Caenorhabditis elegans: one gene and its partner. The protein of the gene in region 1 interacts with the protein of each later gene in a pairwise test. Each region holds a gene or a part of one and is shown in the gene's direction. Other genes may lie near its edges. The genes, in order: nhr-1 and F23A7.3.

Evidence for each region.
Region 2: the proteins of nhr-1 (region 1) and F23A7.3 interact in a two-hybrid assay, tested with the Caenorhabditis elegans proteins (one large-scale study listed by BioGRID).

Annotation. Positions count from the first base shown.
Region 1 is NC_003284.9:17,517,840-17,522,832, forward strand, and holds the start of nhr-1 (Nuclear hormone receptor family member nhr-1), read left to right. Parts: upstream 1-1,895; 5' UTR 1,896-2,177; coding exon 2,178-2,367; intron 2,368-2,983; coding exon 2,984-3,071; intron 3,072-3,143; exon of another isoform or gene 3,144-3,352; intron 3,353-4,385; coding exon 4,386-4,465; intron 4,466-4,576; coding exon 4,577-4,642; intron 4,643-4,993. UniProt on the Caenorhabditis elegans protein: Orphan nuclear receptor which acts in concert with the insulin/IGF-1-like signaling (IIS) pathway during osmotic stress, perhaps in response to a ligand modified by the sulfotransferase ssu-1.
Region 2 is NC_003284.9:16,218,205-16,224,415, forward strand, and holds F23A7.3 (Crinkler (CRN) family protein), read left to right. Parts: upstream 1-1,805; 5' UTR 1,806-1,811; coding exon 1,812-1,964; intron 1,965-2,781; coding exon 2,782-2,919; intron 2,920-3,561; coding exon 3,562-3,612; intron 3,613-3,664; coding exon 3,665-4,147; 3' UTR 4,148-4,156; intron 4,157-5,166; 3' UTR 5,167-5,524; downstream 5,525-6,211.

The DNA of each region.
Region 1 (4,993 bases):
AATCTAGTGAAACATGAAAAAATCAATAACAGAATTATTTTTATCAACAACCCTCCGCCCTGCCTCTGATCATATCGAAAACACGCTCTTGTTTCTATTTTTGTGCCACCCCCTTTTTCCTCTCTTGCCTGATCAATTTTGTGACGTTGACTCTACCATTATTCATAATTTTTGACAAGTTTCTCAAATTTAGTCTCTTCCCTTTCATCAGCTGACAGATATTTTTATGACAAATAACACACACAACTTTACGACGATGGTCTGATCTACGTGTTTCGAAATCAAAAGAGTATGGACTGATTGATCGCACAGTTGAAAGTCTACACTGTCTGGTATAAAAGTTCAAGAAAATATTATGGTAAATGTGACTCATGGTTTCTTTTTTTTCTCGAATATCTATTTCTAAAGCTTTTTTTAAACTATAATTTTCAAAACCTTCAACTTATTGGTCATTCCAAAAAGAACTTTTGCTCCATCTTCTTGCTCTTTTGCTCATCTCTCGATCTTTGTAACACACATACACACATATGCACCTCGTTCTCGAAACTCGACTACTCAAACACCGTCGTGTACATATCCGATATCTTCTCGTTTTTTTTTTTCAGAAAGTATCCTCCGCACATACTTCTCATACATAGCACACAACGTCAACCGAATTCCGAATTAACGAGCCTCCGCCGCTCGCCGAATGTGAGTTTTTTTTTGTAGGCATGCTCTTTTTTTTTCATTCACATCAAGTTTTGATGGATTGGATTAGATTTGGGGTTTTGCCTTTTGCGCTTTTAGTCGTTGGTTGGTGCCTTGCTCTTAACTATAATTGATATATATATTCTGAGTGATCGTATAATCCTTGAGAGTATTAGCTTACTTCTTCAAAATCCAAAAAACTTCTGCCAACACCACGGATTTTGGTGGTATGAAAAAGGTGTCAGATTAGGAAGAACGTTGGCTGTTTTTTCTTGCGGAAAAAGAAAACCTTGACAAAACAACAGAAAAAAGGATTGGACTCTATTTCCAGAGGAAGTAGATAAGGATGGGAATTAACGGAACATTAAAAATCTAAAAAAAACTTCGTTCAACATTCCTGACTATTGTCCTATTTTGACTACGATTTTTGAAACTAAAAATAACCTAGGTCACTGAGCCAGTTGAAACTTAGATTCAAAATTGCCACAACTAAAAGTTCCTTGCATTTTTTTGCTCAACCTCTATCTTGGCGTTTTTTTAATTTTCTAGATAAAATGATATCCTTTTCAGCGACTTTTTGAGATTTTTTTTTAATTTTCAGTGTTCAAAATCATGATGGTTCTGTTAATTTAACTTTTTAAAGTATAGATCTTATTTTCAGACTATTTAAGATCTCGAAACTATATAGGTTCTGCTCTTTTTCAATTTTTGGCTGATTAACTGGATTAGAAACATTTAAAGGTCTCTATCGTCTCCACAAGAAAAAAACATGTTTTCTGTTTCTCCGGAAATGACCTTGGAATTCAAAGACTCTAGTTAATTCGATCTCTGATCAGATATCAGAAAGCATAATTCAAGTTACAAGCCTCCCCTGACTTTGCACAACAATTCGATTGGAAGCATCTTGATCCATCAACCTGTTCAATATTTTTTTTTCTTGTTTCAAATTGAGCAATTCCAAATGGAATGAAATTTTGGAAGATGGAGCAGATAGGCTTATGGTTGAGTTGAAAAGGAAATGGAAAAATTCGTCTCCTTTCCCTTTGCAGTCCTCTCATTTTTTGAGCTTCTCCTTCGTTGGTCCCTCGTGTTTTTTTTCGTCGTTTCTTTTTTCTTCTTCTTTTTTCCCATTGCATTTTTCTTCCCTTCACGGCCCCCTTTCTCTCGTGGGGGCCCTGGCGTTGTCGCCCACAAGCTCCGCCCAGTTCACCACTCTTCTTCTTTCTTTGCTCTCTCCAGCTCGCCGAGCTTCTTCTCCCAGTTTTCTTCGCTCACTGCTCCTTTCATTTTTTTTCTTTGATCGTGCTCACCCTTCGTTGTCGTAGTCTACTTGAGACGACGTGGCGGTGGTGTGCTCACTAAGGAAACTAAATATTCTCGCGCAACACCAACGACTGGCGACCGAAGACGACGTGTGCTTTGCTCCGTCGTCTTCCCCCTACAGTTCTTCGGGACACCGCGGCGAACCACCAATGCACGTGTTTTATAGTATGAACGGTACACTGGCCGATCAACTGCAAAGCCATCTGGCCAACTACGGGCAGCCAATGGTCAACTCGCAACGCAACGAGGATCCGTCAATGTATATGAATGGATCAGCCGCCTCCGTTTCCCACACCAACGGCTCATCCTCGATGGGCAATGATCAAAAATTTCCGTCTTATAAGCGAATGGCTCAACGTAAGTTTTATCCGTTTTATTACTCGGAAAGTTGGAAAATTTAGTAAATTATCATGCTCTTTCCCAGTGGTTTCTTTCTTCAAAATAATTTTGTTTTGATGCTGAATAGGTTTTATGAATTTACAAAATTGAAAATATGAAATGAGAAAAACAAAGCATTTAGGTGAACTAGCGTACATTGACAACATTTTTTTGCTATTCGGCAGCTCAGTTTTTCAAAATATTTTTTTGTGAAGATCATATTGGTTGGATGTACTTGTGTATTCCCGCATTTTAAATACTATGTGATTTCTCAGTTGAATTGTAAATTCAATTTTAAAACAAATCTATTTGAAATAAACTGAGGAGACAGTGTTGTCAGTTTAGTGTGAACTGAAATTTTTTAAATTTGCAAGAAAACACAACATTGTTGAATTGGTTTTTCCATAAAATTTATAGTTTTTGCAAAATTTCTAATAACACTTTTTAAATGTACTTTATAAAAATTTTTAAATTTCCAATAATCCTCTAAAAATTCCCGAACCTTGAAGCTTTACGATTTCTCCACCTAGACAGTTCAAAAAGTTTCTTTAAACACGCTTAACCCCCCAACAATATTAAATTTCACTTTTTTTAGGAAGGAAAGTGCCCGAAGGAGAGCTGTGCGCAGTTTGCTCGGACCTTGCCACTGGATATCACTACGGAGTGGCTAGCTGCAATGGATGGTACGTGGCTGTTTTTTTGTTGTTGCCAGAAAAGATAAAATGACGTTGGACTTTTACACTCGACCCCCACCAAATGAGACTAGGAAGCTGGAGCTCACTGAGCTCTCTGGGGACAATCGTGTTCTTTGCTTCACTCCGCTATCCGTTTCCTCCCCTCTCCGCTGCCTGAAGCGAGACGGGTAAAACTGAGTGAAATGTGATAATGCTTAGGAGGGGCCCTTTAAAACTTGGCCTTTTTGTGTCTTGTTGGTCTTTAGGTTTTGCCTTCTTCCAAAATTTCTAGTCCTCACTCAGTGACCAACAAGCAAACAATGAACTCAATAGACTATGTGAATATGGAGGGGCTCCTTTTTTGGTTTGGTTCTCTGGTTTGCTTGCTCTTGTCAAAACCACACATGCCAAGTTCACCTTGTCTTCAATTTTTTCTCTTTTCTTTTTTTCATCTCGGCCAATAGTAAAAGTAGAAGACCCTTTGAATAAGGGGAGAAAAGCGAAAAAAGCGATCAAGTAGAAAATCGCGTCACGCTTTCGAGAGCACATAGAGCAATAGTGGCAGCAGTAGCTGCACGAGGCAATTTAGAAAGATGGGGAAAAATCCACGAAACATTTTTTTCCTCCCCAATTCTTTCGCTCTGAGGAAATTAATGATGGTCTATGTTCTCTTCCAACATAAGGGTACCAAGATTTTCTCACTCATTTTGATAATTTGATTGGATTTTAGAGAGAGAGATTACATTAGAGACATTAGAATAATTGAGTAATTCAATATTTCAAGACCAAAGAACTAGATGGTGTTCCCCAGAACAATGTTACTGTTGAAATTTTGGTTGCGATTTTCTTTAAAAAAAATTGTCAATTACTATTTCAAAACTCAAAAAACATAGGGTACTTAACTAGTAGCCGTATTTCATGTTAAAAATAGTTTAAGTTTTTTAGTTTTAAGCCAAAAATGGTGATTTGTAAGTCTAATCTTTGTTCAAATGTTTAGCCTTTAAAAAGTATACTTTTGCAAAATGAAAATTTAAAAACTTTTCGAAAAAGCTGGCTAAAATAATTTTAATCGGTACACAATTTTTTTTTGTGACATCGGTTTGAGGAAGGTAATAACTTTTTTCGAAAGCTAATAAAATGTATTTCAAATAAATATAAAAAATCGAATAAACTTTAAGGTTTGATTAAAATGAAACCTCAGGAAACACTTTTGAACATTTGAAAGCAAGTTTATCATAAGTTTCCGCTGAATATATTTTTCACAAAATTTTGTGACAGTTTTCAAATCATCTCCTCACTTCAAACCTAAAAATCTGTTTTCAGCAAAACCTTCTTCCGACGAACAATAGTCAGTGAGCAAACCTTCATTTGCCAATATAATGGAAATTGTGATGTTAATAAAAGTGAGTTTTACTCTAGATTTTCTCGGAAATCGCAAATTGTCCGGTGGTGTCTGATCATGTACTTTTGCTTATTTTGAAAGCATTTTTCAACTAAAAAAAAACTACTTGCAGACATTCGATGTGCATGCCGTCACTGCCGCTTCAACAAATGCCTATTGGTGGGGATGGACGCAAAAGGTAAGTGAAGAGCTCCTGAATATACAATAACCCGTTTGATGACATCCTACGGAGCAGCCAGGGGATTGCAAATTAAAGATACCGACACCAAAACAAGAAGCGTGATAATTAGAGCTTTGACCTCTGGGGTTATTTTTCCGGCGGGAAAATCACACCAAAACACGTGAAGTTGATCTCTGGTGTGGCTCTGTGGTTTGAGTTAAGCCGCGGATTCACGAATTCACGAATTTATAGACACTTTATTGGAACTTTTGCTTATTTTCTCTTCTCAAATGAAAAACACCCTTTTGAAAGGCTTCAATTTGAGTGATCAGTCGGTTTTGCTAGCTGAAAATCGAGATTTGAAAATCT
Region 2 (6,211 bases), 1.3 Mb from region 1:
ATTTTGGATGGCATATTTTTTCATATTTTTTAAAATACAGTTCGGAAAATTGACTTTGCATAAAAGAAAGTCACTACCCGTTTTGTTCAATCTTTTTGGGTCAGAGCGCTTGATGAACGACTTGTATACATCAACCGGTTCCTTATCAATACCTTCAGTTATGTTATTGCTTCACAAAATCTACTGCAAGTAGTTTTTGTGGGAAATTGGTCTGAGCTTCATACGTCACTATTCCCGTTGCTCTTTTTTTGCACCGCTAAAGCACATGTCTGCGTCTCTCACATGTCACATGTTTCTGAAGTCTGAGCGAGCGTCTGTGCCTCTCACTGAACACTATCTTTTTTGAGAAGCAGCGTAATGAAAAAAAATTCAATAGCTGCTGCATATCAGTGAGTGTGTCAGCTAATAGGGCTTCACGCGTTATTTCATCTTTTCATAAAAAGTTTCCCAGTGACTTCGCGGGATATGTTTAATTTTTTGAATGTTTTCCTCCTTTATTAATTCAGTGAAAAGCTCAGTTAATTTAAGCCACATTGTGTCATGCTGTCCCATTACGGTTTTATCTACAAAAATTGCGGGAATTTTTCTCCAAAAAAATGTGACGTCGGTACGTTCTTAACCATGCGAAATCAGTGGAGAAGTCTGCTTATAAATTCTGCCTTCCAATTCTCGTAGATTTACGTAGTTCAAACCAAAATGGGACACTCTGACCCTACGTGCTACGTTGTTAAATGCAACCTCGTTTGACGACTAATTGCGTATATATACAGTGCTGGCCAAAAAGATATCCACTTTCAGTTTTTTGACAATTTCGATATTTTTTCCAATGGGCATAACTTCAAAACTAGGAAAGGTATCAAAAAATTTTCAACTGGTAAAATGTAGCTCGTGATCAGGCCTATGTATTTTTACATGTTGCAATTATTCATCCATCACATGGCAAGTAATAAAGCGGCGGGCATCTCGTGAGTCCGTTTTTGACGATGATTACTAAAACGACTGTAACTCAAGAAACATATTTTTAATGAAAGGTTTGAGAAAGTAACAAAATGTTTATTTAATTTTTCATTGTTTGAACATATCAACTTTGTCCTAAAACCTCCATTTAAAAAAATGTGTGCGCTGAAACTAGTGTCTCATTAGACACTGTTTAGAGGCTTTGTTCAAAAATCAGGTTTCTTGGATTGAAAATCTTTTTCCGACAATTTTTGTGAAGAACTGATGTTGTTATTATATTTGAACTACATATTAACCAATAAACAGAATTCAGAAAAAAAAATCTACTATTTTTGAGAAATGAGCTCGATATTACTCTACACTTCTCTTCTTTAAACTCTCTTGTCTTTTTCAATGGAGGTTTCAGGACGAAGTTAGTATGTTCAAACAATAAAAAATTATATAAACATCGTGTTACTTTCTAAAAACCTTCCATTAAAAATATGTTTCTCGAGTTACAGTCGTTTTAGTAATCATCATCAAAAGCGGACTCACGAGATGTCGGCCGCTTTATCACTTGCCATGTTTTGGGTGAATAATTTAATCATGTAAAAATACATAGGCCTGATCACGAGCTACATTTTACCAGTTGAAACTTTTTTGATAGCTTTCCTAGTTTTGGAGTTATGCTCAATGGAAAAAATATCGAAATCATCAAAAAACAGAAAGTGGATATCTTTTTGGCCAGCACTTTATATATATATATATATATATATATATATATATATATATGTATATAATTTATTATGGGATACAATACTAAATGAAAAGTACGTTATATACATAAATACGTAATATTTTTAATTCAGCAAAAAATGGTACGAATCATTTGCAAAAGAAAAACGGCCGAGGACAAGCCAAACGCATTTGAATTCAAAAAAGTCAACAAAGGTCTAACTTCTCCCAGTGATGGCCCTTTTGTCATAGCACATTTTCCTAAAAACATGATTTGGGAAATTGACCAAGAGGTAATTTTTTTAAAGAGGATTAGCGCCAGTGGGGAAATTGCTTCAAAACATGCCTATGGTACCACAATGACCAAATATCACAGTTAAAAATTTGAAATATTTTTTCTAAATTTTATATTATTTTTCGAAAATCAACAAAAAAAACCCAAATTGCATCAAATCCCCATTTGAATTACCGCCAATAGTTCGATGCTCGATAGAGCGCGCTTGCCATTTTATTAAATTTTTTATTCATCAATTTCTCTCATTTTTGACTGATTTTTCATGTTTTTTCTAGAAATTTTACTGGAAATAAATTGAAAAATTCAAGATAATTGTAATTTTTTTCATTAAAAAGCGGGCGCTAAAGCCTAAACCTGTGAAATAGATTTGTTCAGGCTAAACGTCGTTGAAAAACGTTCTTTCTTTGTTTTCAGTTATTTTCAGTGGACAATCTACATTTATCTTGAATTTTTCATTGAATTTCTAGTAAAATCACACAAAAAAACATGAAAAATAAGTCAAAAATGAGAGAAATTGATGAATAAAAATTAAAAAAGGCAAGCGCGCTCCATCGAACATCGAACTATTGGAGGTAAATCAAATGGGAATTTGATGCAATTCGAGATTTGTTCATTTTTCAAACAATCATATAAAATTTAGAAAATTTTTAAAAATTTTTTTACTATGATTTTTGGTCATGGTCTTTGTGGTACCATAAGCATCTTTTAAAGCAATTTTTCCAATGGCGCTACTCCATCTTTAATTATCAAGAACTGGTCGGGTTCAGTAATCAAAATTGACCCACTATCTTTCAAAACAAATTAAAAATTTTCAGACATCAAACGAAAAGTACATTGCGTATTTCCCAACAATAGTTTCTTCGCCCGATACAAAGCGACTGATGGAAAATGATCAGCTGAAAATGTTGTATGAGAAACTTCGCGATCACAAATCCGGCCCACTGAAAACACAGGTTTTTTTGCTTTTTTTTTTTTGAAATGAATTTTTCTCATTTTCGGAATTATTTTGTCAATTTTCTCTGGAGCTGGAAAATCCGACGTCGTCGGTTTTTACAAATTTTAAATTTTTCCGATGTGTAGGTTTTCACGTCGCCCGACATTTTGCGAGTTTGGTTACTCATTATAAAATTGAATAGAGCTTATGAGTATAGTGAGTGGCTAAACTCGGAAATTGTCGGCAGACTTGAAACTCTTCTTATTGGTATATTTTCAAAATTTTGAAAACCGGACACCGTACGTCCGGTCCGGACGTTGTACGTTCAGATTTGCGACCCCTAAATTTTTCATTGAAAATATACAAAAAATATAAAAATTCCTTTTTCGTGGAAAAGTGTGACCCAAAAGCGTAAAAAAGAAACCAAGATAGAAGCAGAGCCAATTTTTCAAAATAATTATACTTTTTCATGAATTGGAAATAATCATAATAAAACGAATCTTTTAGATAGATTAAACTAGAAATAGTCGAATTTGAAATTTTAACAGTGCATTCTCACACTACTTCCGAGGGCTTTAAAATTGCTCCAAAAGTAAACTTTATCAAATTTTAAAGAAAAAAACGGGAATTCCAACAATAAATTAATTATGTATGTTTTCAGATCGATGGGACAAATTTTGTGGCAGTTGAACAAGATGCTGAGCCACACCAGGTTAGATATTTGTTTCTTTCTCGATTTGTTTGAAATTTTAATGCTTATGTAGATCGAATCGATTCAATTGCTACCAAATGGCAATCTGAAATTATATTGGCCTGTTATATGTAGAGATGAACTGGAAGAAGACACAAACAAAGAATTTAATGAAATGAAAAAAGACCTTTACGAGACAAAACGCGAATTAACAGAAGTTCGAATATCACTGATGAATTTGGAAGCGGAACACAGAACACTCCAAACTAACTGTAACAGAAAGGATACCCAACTTTTCGAACGCCACGAGGAAATCCAGCAACTCAAAGACCACATTCAATGGAAGTCAAAAGATACTGAGGTGGCTGCCAAAATGGTTTTCCAGATGCAGAACAAGCATAAGGAGGAAGTTGAAAAGTACACTTCAACGATCTCGAAGTTGAAAGAGGAAGTTGTAGCCAAGGACAAAGAAATTGTTGAGAACAAAACTGCTAATGATAATATGGTATCTGCACTTTTGGGTTTGATAAACAAGCAACGAAGAGTTGGGACCTAGATTGCATTGGTGAGTTTTTTTCAGGTTTTTTAATTAACATGGGTATGTACGTGGCCAAAAATATATGCATTTAAAGGTGGAGTAGCGCCAGGGAGCATTTTGTCTAAATACATTTTTAATAATTCGAAACAACCGAATATTATAATAAAACACTTCAAAAAGTTTTTTCGGCAGTGTACCTGACTTCCAGATCCGCAGTACATTGAAGAACGGATCGTCTTTTAATCCTTTTAATTTTTAAACAATCGAAGTTTTGGCAAATTGCCAAATTTTTTAAACGAATGAGATTCCTAGATTGTCTTAAAATAAATGACAAGAGAGGGTAAAGCCGTACAGATAGCTGATAAAGTTATTGTTAGCAAAATTTGATAAGTGGGTTGTGAGAAACATGTCTAGAAAATTTCGTAACGAAAACTCACCCGGTTGCTCAGAAAAGAGCTCAGAAGCCTTCTGGAAACAAACAATAGGGAAAAGCCAAGTACAAATTCATCTTTAAAATGGCTCAAAAAAGTGCGAAATGTAGGAAAATGCACCAGAATGTGAAATGATGTGTAATTTACCAGATTTGGAAGTTTGGTGAGCATTGGAAATGCAGTAGCTTCAAAACGGGCTTCAAGGTACTAAAATGTGAAAATTGGAAGGATTCCTGTTTCATCTTTATTCGATGATATGAAAACCAAAAAATATACTGGCAAAACATGTGATTGAATGTTATTCAACGTGACACTTTTCGAAAAATCGAACTTTTCGTGAAAAATTCTGAAAATCTGAGGGAGCCCCATAGCAGTTGGGCGGTCAATTTTTCAACTTTTTGCTCTTTTGCTCTCAATTGTTGAGCAATCAGAACGAAACTGTAGGTACATAGGTTTTTTGATATGCTGAATCCAATTCCCGCATTAGTTTTCCCCGAAAAAGTTCGAAAATATCCGAAATCCCTAAAGTTAGGGGTGTCCCAGTTGGACGCACTATATGTGCGCTATAATATATGTGTAGACGTATACCATTTTGCAATGTTTCAGACGGATGCACGTGTTTCCTGCGTATTCAATCAACAAAACCAATCACACAAAAATGCAAAAATTTCTGGCATTCAACTTTCAAACCGTCTTCTTCCATTCCCTGAACATGTTCCTCGCCCATTTTATTTTTATTCACAACTCTCTTGCTGGATAGGTCCGAACGTCGTCTAATGTTATTAACTTTTGTATTAGAACATGTCACTGCAACTTTTTTCGAACGAGGGCTGAGAAAAAATGCGAAAAATCGGTGTTTGCACACAATACACCGCATTTTACGACATTTTCTACTTGCTTTCTTTTCTTGTGTTTTTTACCGATTTTTCTTGTGTTTTCTTATTAAAACTGATAAATACATATTTTTTGTTAATGCTAAAATAATTTCCAGATGAAAAATTGTGAATTCAGCCGGCAAGTAGCGGTGAAAGTGGTCAATGTAATATGATGGATTACGGGAATACAAAACCCAAACTTTTCCCCAAACATGATACATATGATGTTTAGATGCTAAAAGTACCTGATTTTCATAATGAGACCGCTGAAAAAGTTTTGAGATTTTCAAAATTCAACTTTTTTGGTAAAAAAGTCGAGATTTTGGCACAAAATGTTGAATTTTGATAATCTAAAAACTCTTTTAGCTGTCTCGTTATGAAAATCAGGTACTATCAGCATCTTAAAAGCATATATATTATGTTTCAGAAAAAGTTTGGGTTTTGTATTCCCGTAATCCATCATATTACATTGCCCACTTTCACTGCTACTTGCCGACTGAATTCACAATTTTTTCACTTGGAAATTGTTTTAGCATCTGCAAAAAATATTTATTTATTTGTTTTGATAAGAAAAAACGGAAAAAATCGGTGAAAAATGAAAGAAAACACGCAGAAAACAAAGCACGATAAATGGCCGCTGAAATTTGTCGGGGACTCGCCATGGCCTAGAAACCTTTTTGCCTCGTCCCTCGTTCGAAAAAAGTTGCAGTGCATGTGCAACCATTCTTTTCTAGCTCTCTGATTGAAAATAAATTGTTCAAAATACATTGATTTTC